3 linked regions of the Sus scrofa genome follow. The protein of the gene in region 1 interacts with the protein of each later gene in a biochemical or structural test. Links are inferred from orthologs where the notes say so. Each region holds a gene or a part of one and is shown on either strand. Other genes may lie near its edges.

Region 1 (3,743 bases):
GCCAAGGCGGGGAAAACCGGGGCAGACCTCGAGTCACAGCTGAGGACCCAGGGCTGGGACGGCGCAGGGCCAGCCGTTAGGAGGTCAGGGCTGCAGATGCCAGGACAGAAGGCGAGCTCCTGGCAGGTGCTGCCACCCGCCATGGCAATGAGCACCGCCAGTCGGATGAGTCCCAGCCTCACGCCCCCAACCTCACCTGAGGCCGGAGAGGAGTGGAGAGGAGGGCAGCGGGCTGAGGAGGGGGGGCTTGGCTTCGAAACAGTCCGTTTCTTTTGGGCCTCACCTGCCCAGAGGAAGCAGCACCTGCCCAAAAGAGGGGCCCACAGGTGGCAGGGTGGTGAGGCTGGGCCTCTCGACAGAGGCTCCCGAGCCTCCCCGGCAGGTCTGTGGTTTCTCAGGACCGTGAGGAAGAAACAGGGACCAGGGACCCCCACCTGGCACCCCGGGAGCCTGCAGTGGCCCACAGAGGAGCGCGCAAACCTCCAGCGGCCAGACCCGCTCCGCGTGCAGCATAATTGCTGGTGATTAAGTAATTGCCAGACTTTGTCCAATAAAAGTAGCACGTGACCGCGCCCAGCCTTCTGGGCCATCTCCAGAAGACAATGGGCCAGTGTTCGGTGGCTGCGGCCTTGCTGCAGAAGGCAGGGGCTCTGCTCACCCCCCCCCCCAACGCAACAGGTCCCCGCAGGGGTGCGAATACTCACACGCAGGCCTCCGTGCCGTTGGGGAGTCCTTCGCACTTCCCGCCATTCAGGCAGGCCTCGCTGGGCTGGGAACACCGCAGGCCTGGGGAGAGGCAAGAGGAGAGGTCAGCCGGCCAGCCCCAGCAAGGGCCCACCCCAGGGACCTCCGGACATGGGGCTGTGGGGGGGCGGGGGCCCCCGGAAGCCCGGCCTGAACCCTGGAGGGCTTCATCATTCCGCCCAGAGTCCTGGGGCCAGAAATGCGGGGGAGGGCTGGCTGGCGGGCAGGTGGACAGGTCCCGCTCCAGGCGGAGCGGGGTGGCCTGGAATGCCTGGAGGCCAGCAGTGGAGACAGCCGGGATGAGCCGGGCCGCTCTCCCGAACTTCTCACTCCCTCCCTGTCCTCCCTGGGGACCCGAGCCAACCGCTAGGATCATCTTGCTGTTCAAACAAGTTCTTCGAGGGGACGGCGCGCAGGGGGGGGGTGGCCACACTCAGCTCCCCCGCTCGTGGGAAAATGCGACAGCTGCAAAGCCCGCTGCCCCGCCCGCCAACAAAGCGCCGGCAGAGGAATCAGAGCAGCCCATTGTCAGGCCAGGGCGCCTCCTGGGGCACCGGGACTGCACCCCAGGGACCTGGCCCCGCCTCCGCAGACACCCAATTCCAGCTCCCCAGGGTGGGCATCTTCAGCGGCAGCCCCCTCCACCCCTCCCAGGAGGGGGGATGAAGATGCTCCATTTGCCAGGAATTGGACCCCCCTCTCGGGAAGGGGTCAATTAATTAAGCCCCTTCCTCTCCATCTTACCAGGGCAGGTAAATTAAGCTCCTCTCCCGGAGGGGAGGGTGTGTGTAGATCGAGGGTGACAAGGAACCCTATTTTCTGGAAGCGCCGGAGTCATTCTCCCTCCAACTTTTAGGGGAAGAGCAAGATCAAACCCCATCGGATTCCTCCGAGAGCCTAAGTGAGCCGAGAGGACTAAGCGCCCCCTCCCAAACGCTGCAAGCTTTCCAAACTTGAACTCCACAAAGCGAAAGTCCCGCCGGAGGCAGCCAGTCTTCAGCACGCACACCCATCCCCCCAAATAACCGTGAGCCGGGCTGAGCGCAGGGACCGGTGTGGGGAGGAGACACCGCGGGCGGGGCGGCCGGGAGCCCGGGGACCCCGGGGTCCGTGGCCCTCGCCCCAGCCCCGAGCGAACGCTCGCCACCGAGAAGGAGGCCGGGCCCGCCGGGCCCGCCCCGCTCCCCTCTGCCCACCACGCCCCGCAGCCGCCGGCACCGGCCGTGCGGCTCCTAACGACGAACGCGGCGCCCGGGACCCCACGCTCCGCGCCCCAACATCCGCCCCCGCCGCGGGCAAGAGGCGAAGAAAGAAGATAAATGGCCTCAAAGCAACAGGAAACCAAAACTGGCTCGATTCAAAACGAAAAGTAGTAGGCAGCTCTCCCGCCCGCCCGCCCTGGCGGCGAGCCCCACGCGCGACTGGCGAAGGGCGAGCCCAGGGCTGGGTCTCCCGGGCCCCCAACGGCCCATGCCGGCCTTCAAACCCGATTTTAAACCCGTCCCCAAACTCGGTTCCAGGCGCGAGCAGCGCGATTCCGCCCCATGGGGCAGGCGACGCGAGGAAGGGTCAGCCTTTCTCCCCGAGTCCACGACTCCGGCCCCCACTCCGCCCCGGGTCGCCCGCCCCCCCCCTCCCCCGGCCGCCTGCTCCCAGCCACCCGGGGCGCGCGCGTAGGGTGCCGCCAAAAGTTTCCGAAGGCGCGGAAAGTTGCGGGCTCGCGGGCGCCTACCTCGTGCGGCGAGCGCGGGCAGCAGCGCCAGGCAGAGCAGGGGCGCCAGGAGCGGCGGCATGCCTGCCCGCCGGCTGCCCGCTGCACCCGGTGGTGGCCTCCTGTGCCCGGCCGGCTGGCCTCGGGCGTACACTCGCGCGCCGGACCGTCCCACGGGCGGCGGCGGCCTGCTATTGCCCTCTCCTTGCTGGCAGGGGGGCGACACTGAGCTCTCGGGGCCTCCCCGGCCCGGCTCCGCGCCCGGGATAGCTCCTCCGCTGCGCTCCCGCCCGCGCCCCGCGCCCAGCACCCAGAGGCCCGCGCCCCTGCGCTCCCTCCCACGGCCAAGGCACTAGTGAGGCGCTGGGGCGCCGTGCGCTCCGCCCCCGGCCCGCCGGCCCCGCCCCTGGGTCCCGCCCCCGCCGATGCCTCCGATCCCTCCGCACCCCTCGCCCCCTCGCTGGCCGCGCCCCTCCGCGCGCCTGGACCGGCCCCGCGCCTGCTCTGGCTGGGGCGCGCTTCCCGAGCCGGGGCCTCCGCGGTTGGGGGCCATGGCGCTTCGGGACCCCGTCAGCGCCCGGCCCTAGGGACTACTTCTCTGTCGAAAGTTTTCGGAGGCCAAAAGTTTGGTGCGAGGCCGCGGAAGGATCCGGCTCTGGGTGCCGCCGCGCTCGGCGACAATTGGCAACGATTTGCATCTCAATAGCGGAGGAGGCGCGGGCAGAGCAGGGAAAGGGGGGGCCGAGCAGGGAAAGGGGAGCCCGGGGCAGGCCATGCCCGGCGAGGAGCTGGGCTGGGGCAGGTGGAGAGGAGCGGCCGATGCCCAGTCTGGGGGCTTGTGGGACGGGGGCTCTGCGTGAAGTAGCGCCCTCGGCAGCCGTGGGTGCCCCCCTCGTCCAATGCAGGAGCTCCGCGGTCGCAGCTTTAAAGCCTTCGAGAGACCAAGCCCAGACTCCGGGCTGTTCTGAAGGCCGGGCACTTGACCCTGAGGCATGGTGGCACCGGGGCTGCGGCCTCCGAAAAGGGGGCTCTGGGTGCCCCCCAAAGGAAGTCTGGGGCCAATGCGTGGCTAGCTCCCTCAGGAGAGACTTGCCTCTAGACTCCTTGGTCACTGTCCTACCTCTCAGCCCAAGGTGCCCTGCAAAGCGCGCGCGCGGGTCAAGCGGACCTGTTGCCCTCGCTCTTGCAGCCCTGGGCCCCTCCCACGGGCTCCTTCCGGATTTCTTTCTGCGCGGCTGTGCCAGATTTGGGCAACTCTTGCCAACCCCGGTTAAGTGCTGGGCGTCCA
Region 2 (3,743 bases), on another chromosome or scaffold:
AAAAAAAGTCTGAAACACTGTTTCTGATCCACCTCTAACAGAATAAGTACATAGTGGTCAGGCCTTTGGTGTGGTGGAAGAGCCTAAGAAGGGGAAAAAATAACCAGAGGGTGAACTCTATTAGTAAATTTCATTTGTACAAATGGTTCATTGATGATAACTTTGCTATGAAAGGCTGCCTAAGAGTACTGAAGAACATTTGGAAAAAAACAATAATATTCCTTATGTAAGGATTATTAATTAGATCAAATATAAATTCTGACTTGTCAAAAATAACAATGACTAAGAGGTAATTTCTCCTCTCCATCTCTCTGGGCAAAGCTGTGCTCCTTCCAAGCCAAAATCCTACCCAGGTAAGGACTCTCTCCCCCTCTGAACTGAAGGAGCCACCAAAATGGAAAATGCCACTGTGTTCTTAATGACACTGATCTTCCCTTCCTAAAAACCCACTCCAAGGCTAAAGAGCTCCCCTAGAATCACTTGGAGACTGAAGTGAAAAGGGTCCCTCTTCCTAGCAGGGAAAAGAAAGAGCACTTCCATTCTAAAGTTTAAACTCATGAAACCCATAGGTCAAGGTTTAATGTGATAAGACATCAACCTAACATGGCATACCTGATAACCCAAAGGAATGATGACAGGCCAGACTCAAGTTCTAACACACTGAGAATTAATTTCTCTTCAAACAGCATGCCAAATTTCTCTCCAGTAGTTTAGGACTAAAAATACCATTGAGGATCTAAACTCTCACCCTCTTTAAACAAACAGAATCACTACTAATATACTCTCTAGGGGGTGTTCAAAGCAGCTATTTGTGTGTAAAACTGAGATTTGTAGAGCTTTCATTATTTACTTACACTGCAATGATCACCCACAACTTACAAGTCTTTCCTTCAACTCCTCCCTGCATCCCAAGGTTTACAGTCTGGTTTACAAGACGTGATCTAAAGCAGTATGTGACTTGGTGTTTAAAATAAATAGCACGGACAATACATTTCCTAAATGTTTTGACAAGATTCTAACTGCTGTGGGGTAGGGTGGATGAGAACTGGCTTTAAAGAGAAGATGAGCTGGACCTCAAGAATGGCAGAATTCTGAAAAGGTGACGGGGGAGAGTGTGGCAGGCAGCCTTTCCAAGTTGATGAAATATTTTCATATGCACACTCATTTCTTTTGAATCGTAAGAATCCTAGAGGATAAGAAACCAAACACATCCTCAGTTTACAGACAAGAAAAATGAGGAGGAGAAAATTTGACTCTATTAGATTTGATAACAATACACAATGAAACATCCATCATCCCAGGCTAGTGTGGGAGAGAATAAGGAAAATAATTCAACCAGCGCATAGGACCTGTGAGGGACATATCATTTAAAGGTTAAGAGACTAAACACCTAAAGACTAGTTAGGGAGGAGTACTGCAACAGGCCAGGTGAAAGGTAATAAAGGCATGAATTAAAAAATACACATTACAAATTAAATTGGTAACATTTGTTCTAAACTCCACATTACCCAGAAAGCAACAACAACAAAACCTGTTTTATCAATTTCAGGGAGGAAAACTTCTAACCAACAAATTTCCCGAATATCTACTGAGAACCCAAAGGGAACAATAATTTACCGACGAAACTTAACACCGTCAGAGATTTTAAACAGGCTTATAATTAAAACTGGAATTGTCCACAATATTGCTGGAATCACAAATACACAAACTTCGGAATTCCCTAAACAAAGAATACTTTTGTGCCACGCAATGAGCAGTACTATGCCTTCACTAAGATTTCCAGATTCTCGGATTTTCCATTCAGAACAGTTTGATCTGGTCAACTAAAGTTCGTCTTATTCTCATATTTAAGCCCTGACGCTGCAAAGAGCAAGGACCCAATGGACATTTACAGAGTAAATGAAGCCACTCTCAAAGGCAACTTTAATACCAGTCTGTTCCAAAAGTAAACTACTCATAATTTCGGAATCAAGTCTGGAAGAAAAACCTTTCAACGATGGTTCGCCAACCTTCCCGGCCGGAGCCTTAACGTAAGGTCCTTGGGGTCGTGTTTTCCCAAAGTAATGCCACAGTGCCATTTCCCGCAGATGACAACTGCTCAGTCCCTGCCATATTAGCCTCCCCCGAGCCAGACCCGACGAATTAAGGGCACTGGGGAAGTCTCAAAGGGCCCCAGGAGGCGTCGGGGCAGAGTCTCCCAGGAAGGGGAGGCTCCCCGAGCCCTACTCACCGCGACAGGGCGGCCGTGCTCCGGACCGTCAGTGACGTCGAGGCGGGGGGCCGGGGCAGGCGCCGGGGCCGGGGCCGGGGCAGGCGGCTGCCGGTGCTTGCCGGCGCGTTTGGCCTTGGCCTGGATGCAGCGCTGGTGTAGGGCGAAGGTGTGCTGGCGTTCGAGCTCCAGACGCTCGGGCGACACGGCCTCGTAGCGGGCCTCGCAGGTGCTGTGGTGGCGCCGACACAGCTCGATGCGCCGGCGGAGGCGCTCCATGACCGCGCTGTGCCGCGGCAGCGCAAACTCCGCCATGGGGCAGGTGGGCAGCACCATGGGCCGCGGGCTGCACGGGCCGGGCCCAAGTCGGGCCTCTCGGGGCCGGCTGGCACTGTGGGCTCCGCTCCCCGCCCGTGGCCCGGCCGCCTTATGGCCACGCCATGACCCCGAGAGCTGTGCAGCGGGCTCGAGCGCGGCGGCGGGTCTTGCTCCGGCCCCGCTCGGCCCAACCGGGGCAGGCGTTCGCTGCCCACCTCAGGCCTCGGCCTGTCCCCGCCGCCCCGAACCCATTGTTTTCCGCGCCGCCGCCGCCGCCATCTTAAAATTGTTTTCAGGGCTCTCGGAAGAGGGCAGGGCCCCGGCAAGCTACCCCGGCGTCACGGCTGATGAACAGGGATTGCAGCCAATCAGAGAAGAAAGAGTGGGCGGCCCGAGGGGCGGGCACGAGCACGCAAGAAGCGCGCTAGGGCTCCCGTGCGGAGTTTAAAAGGAACTCTCTAGTGAGAGGCAGAGGGTAGCAGCTGGGCGGGCTTCGGGCCTGGGTTCCAGCCAACTGAGACCGCCTGGAGCCGGCCCTAACACCGCCTCATGCGGAGAGGCCCTTCCGGGTCCGCAGAGGAAAGAGGGGCAGGCCTAACTGGCTAAACCCAGACGCCCGCCTGGCACTCCTTCAGCCTCTTTAAATTCGGCTTTGATGAGCTCTCAAGTAAGCCATGCTTTTTCCAGCTGGTTTTCTTCCCTCACTCATTACATTCAGCCTCACAATTGGTCAGAATCGTACACGAGTGAGCTGAAAAGGTTTGTTTCCTCTTGCACTATTCTGAATCATCGAGACTATCATCTCCCTTTATATGTCTTAACAGATTTCACAAGTTCAACTACCACTTTAAAAAAAAAATCCCTAGTAGATATGAAGAGAGAAAGGAGTCTAGCTCTTTCTTTGCGGGGTGGTGGTGGTGGTGGGAGAATAGAACTGCAAAGGATGATCCTTAAGTAAACACACATACACCCACCCAATCAGGGAGCCTAGCCTGCAAACTCTTTAAAAAATATATTTTAAAGATTTTAAAAAGTTTTAAAGCTTGTTAGGTAAAACAGAGTCACTCAACAAAATCCGACTAAAGACAACTGCACTCTAGTATTATAACCAGTACGTAAAGAGAATGGGAGACTGTAGGGAAAAAACAGGAGCAATGAAACAGATAGTCTGTGGTGTTGGGCCAAGTTAACTAGAAACAGGTATTGGCACCCTGAT
Region 3 (3,743 bases), on another chromosome or scaffold:
CTTTTGTTAAGCCTTGGACTCCATCTTATCCTGGTCAATGTGTGATCTTTCCCTCAACTGGGTGATTCAGACATCACTAAAGTTATTTTGGCTTTTCCACTTTCCTTTTACAGGCTTTTTATGAGTCATTGAATTGAAGGGGAGGTTATTTCTAAATTGGAAGGTGAAGATGAGAGAAGGGGGAGGAAAGTTCCGGAAAATAACTAGGAAAAGACATCTTATTGTTACGTAGAGTTGCTGGAGGAATAATTTCCTCTTAGTTTGGTGATGGAAGTATGTAGTTTATTTAAACGTGACTAAAAATATATGTTAGAAAATAGACAATTTTGAGGGAGATAACAAACCATGCAGTTTTAGACTTCTTATTGCTTGCTGGCAAAGGAAAGAAGGGTAAATAGAAGAAATATGGAACAAAGAGTTAGCAGGAAGAAGTAAGGAGCAAAGTCCAGATTCTTGGTTCCACAGCAAGTCCCCAACCATAAAGTGCTGTTTAAGAGGGAAGTACATCCTCAACCTGTTCCAGTCCATCCTTGAGTATGTTTCATGACCCATGGGGTTTATGTTATAGGTGGAATTGTGAGGAGGGTACATTTAAATCTGATTTAGAAACTGAAAGGGTAATTAGGTGAGCATTTTGTTATTTATGAACAGGCAGAGTGGGCAGAAATGAAAAAGAAAAGCAAAAAGCTAATGGTGGATATATTTCTAGGAGTACAAGAGTTTTTATAGCAACACCAGATTTCTCAAAAGTGCCTACTGTGATTTGTACCCAAATGAATAAAAAATGCAATCATTTATTCTTGTACATTGTGCCATGTGAGAAAAGAACTGCAATTCATTCAATGGTCTTAATTTAGACTGCTGGGAAGAGAGGTTCAGAAAAAAAGACAAGCTTTTAAAGTATCTGACACACATCTAGTAGGGCTATTTAAGAACTGCTGAGCATAGAAAGCAAGTTACGGGGAGCTGAATTCTCCTTTTCAGAGCATCACAAGGGTAAAATGTGGCCCATATAGTCCAAACTTGCTGATGGTTGCCTGGTCCCTTGCAGGAGACATCCAGCGCTGCGTCTGAAAGCTGCAGAACTCTCAACATACCACTTCAATTCATTAACGACGTTTATAACTGCAACCAAAGTGGACTAACTTCAGTGGTGGTTCTTTGCCCTTTAGCATGGAGATGAACTTTAAGGTAACTGAGCACCTTAGGACTTCAAGCGAAGAGGAGGAAATTTTCATCTACGTGCTTTTCTTTCAAGAAGCCGCTAATGAGTCTTTAAACGCCAACTCTGATGTTGCTGTTGGTAAGTACTGCCCTCTGGGTGAGCAGGCAGTGGTAAGTTTCTCCTTACAGAGAGGAAGTTGGAGAAAGGGATGTTTACAGAGTCAATTTTACAACAAAGAGTTAACCTTTCCCCTCCGACAATAAGCGCCTGCCCCTTCCTTGCTTTCTACTGCGCAACCAAACTGCCCAAGCTCGAACCAACAGTCGCCGCCACATCCCTTGCAGGTTGATTTAATAGACACTTTCTGCAGCCTATCAGGATTTCGAACTGCCCAACCGTCAACCAATTACAACTAAAGCTGGGCTTGGGACGGTCCAGGTCCGGGAGGGGGCTAATACCGGGTCCAGGAAAAGGGGCGGTAAGGAAGCTATGACGGACGGGTAAACTAAGCCAATAAGAGCAGAGAGCTGTATCACCACTATCCAATGGAGAGGTAGGAAGTGTGAAACGGGGTGGGCCTGTTGTCATGGGGGAGGTGGTGGCGCTTGGTGGCTGCCGGCGGCCGAGGTAGAGGCAGTGGCGCTGGAGTTGGTCGAGGATAGCGGCAGGTGAGTGCCTGTAACGCGGGCCTGAAGGCTGAGGGCCATCTCCGAGCGAAAACTCCAGCTCGGTCATCCGGAGGCGGAGGCCTGCGGAAGGGGGCCTGGGCTGCAGGCCGGGTCGGGCCCGGGCCGGGGCCAGGGCGGGGGCGGTGGCCGCGAGTTCGCGCTGACTGGGCTAGTGCGAGAACCGCCCGGCTCCCGGCGGCGGAGTTCGCGCTGGCAAGGTAGGCTGGGGCCGGACTCAAGCGAGTTGGGCCGGGAGCTTCCTTGGGACGCCCAGCCAGCCGCTCGGGTCTGGGGCACTGACTGGCTGCGGGTGTGTGAGGGGTAGGTCCGTAGGGAGACGGGAGCGACTGGGCTCCTAGAGAGGGGATGGCGGGTTACGACTTGGTCCGAGGGCAGGGTGACTCGGGAATACCCAGGACAGCTTCGGAGCGAGGAAAAAGTGGAAACAGGGAATCCCGGGAGCGGCCCGAGCGGAGAAAGCCGGGGAGGGGCTCGGGGGGCCGTAGACTGGGAGTGGCTTGGGTTCGAGAGAGAAGAGAGACCGAGGGAGGTCGGGGTCCAGGGTACTGGGAGCAGCCGGGGTCGGAGAAAGGGCGTCTAGGAAAGACAGGGAGGGGGCTGAGCACCCTCCTGAGAAGGGCGGCTGTCCGAGGGAGAAGCGCTCTTGGACTGTTACGGATCTTCGGAGGGTCTGACCCATGGAGATCTTGAACAAGTTAGGAACCGGAGCGCCCTGCCCCCCACCGCTGGTCTGGGATGGAAGATCCTAGATCAGACTGGGAACTCCTGGGTCTGAGGATCCACAAGAGATCAGGGGAAAAAAAATCCTCATGGGGGTAGCTTGGGTTTGACGTCAGGGTGAGGGGTCTAGCTGAGGAGTGGAAGTTCTCTCAGCTGGAGTTAAATCAAGGAAAATGATACGGGTAGGCGGGGAAAAGTAGTTTCCTTGTAGGAAGGGAGTAGAAGATAGGGCGTAGTAGGAAGGAGCCAGAAAGTTGCCCAGGAAGCGTGGTCTTGTGGAAACTGGCCAGAACCGTAGATATGAGAAATTAACATAGGGCCCTTAATAGGTTGTAAGGACCTAAGAAATAGAAGTTTCAGCTTCACAATACTAAGATGCCATCTAGGATCAGAGAAAGTGTTTTAAGAGCAAGGTTGTGACTCGCATTCCATTGCTTTAGAAATTTGTTTTAGGACGACAGCAATAATGCTAGAAAATAAGGACGTTGGCAGGATGGGAGATTTGAATGGGAAAAGGAGTAGCCGAGATAAAGGAGTAGGACTGCGGACTTGATCAGCAAGAGGAGGGGCATGAAGAGGACAGACTTACTTATGTCAATTTAAAAATAAGTTTGAATTCTAGTTCCACCACCTAGCTTCGACAACTTAACCTCTCTCTGTGCTGAAGTTTCATCTGTATAATAGAGTTCCTACTTTTAAGGGTTGTTTTCTCATGTGAGTTAATGTTTTGTGGAACTTTTAGGCTGATGACTGGCACAGAGTAAGCACTGTGTACTGGATTATCAAATGTGTAGAAGATAAAGGAAGACCTGAATTCCTTAATGCGGTTGTTCTCAAACTTTGATTTGCACCAGAATCACCTGGAGGACTTGTTAAACAGCAGTCTGCTAGCTCTACTGATTCAGTTAGGGCTGGGTTTGGGTCTGAGAATTTGCATTTATCTCAGGTGATGCTTGTATTGGTCAGGGGACCACACTTCAAGAACCTCTTGCTTTTTTGAAAAGAGTAATAATACCAACCTTAAAATACCTGTCTGCCCTGCTAGGGATGAGTAGAAGCAACTTGCAAAAGAAAAAACCCAAAAACCTAATATAAGAGAAACCCTGTCCTAAGTCTATGTTTTTCAAACTGTAGATTATGATTCATTAGTAATTTATAAAATCAATTTA

The links.
Region 2: the proteins of NOTCH1 (region 1) and MAML1 form a complex in vitro, tested with the Homo sapiens proteins (2 studies listed by BioGRID). The link is inferred for Sus scrofa from reciprocal best matches to the Homo sapiens genes NOTCH1 and MAML1.
Region 3: the proteins of NOTCH1 (region 1) and NUMB form a complex in vitro, tested with the Homo sapiens proteins (2 studies listed by BioGRID). The link is inferred for Sus scrofa from reciprocal best matches to the Homo sapiens genes NOTCH1 and NUMB.

What each region holds. Positions count from the first base shown.
Region 1 is NW_018084833.1:1,208,355-1,212,097, reverse strand, and holds the start of NOTCH1 (neurogenic locus notch homolog protein 1), read right to left. Parts: upstream 2,808-3,743; 5' UTR 2,538-2,807; coding exon 2,477-2,537; intron 787-2,476; coding exon 705-786; intron 1-704. UniProt on the Homo sapiens protein: Functions as a receptor for membrane-bound ligands Jagged-1 (JAG1), Jagged-2 (JAG2) and Delta-1 (DLL1) to regulate cell-fate determination.
Region 2 is NC_010444.4:78,873,787-78,877,529, forward strand, and holds the start of MAML1 (mastermind-like protein 1), read right to left. Parts: upstream 2,848-3,743; 5' UTR 2,546-2,847; coding exon 2,231-2,545; intron 1-2,230. UniProt on the Homo sapiens protein: Acts as a transcriptional coactivator for NOTCH proteins. Has been shown to amplify NOTCH-induced transcription of HES1. Enhances phosphorylation and proteolytic turnover of the NOTCH intracellular domain in the nucleus through interaction with CDK8.
Region 3 is NC_010449.5:96,796,552-96,800,294, reverse strand, and holds the start of NUMB (protein numb homolog), read left to right. Parts: upstream 1-1,604; 5' UTR 1,605-1,833; intron 1,834-3,743. UniProt on the Homo sapiens protein: Regulates clathrin-mediated receptor endocytosis. Plays a role in the process of neurogenesis.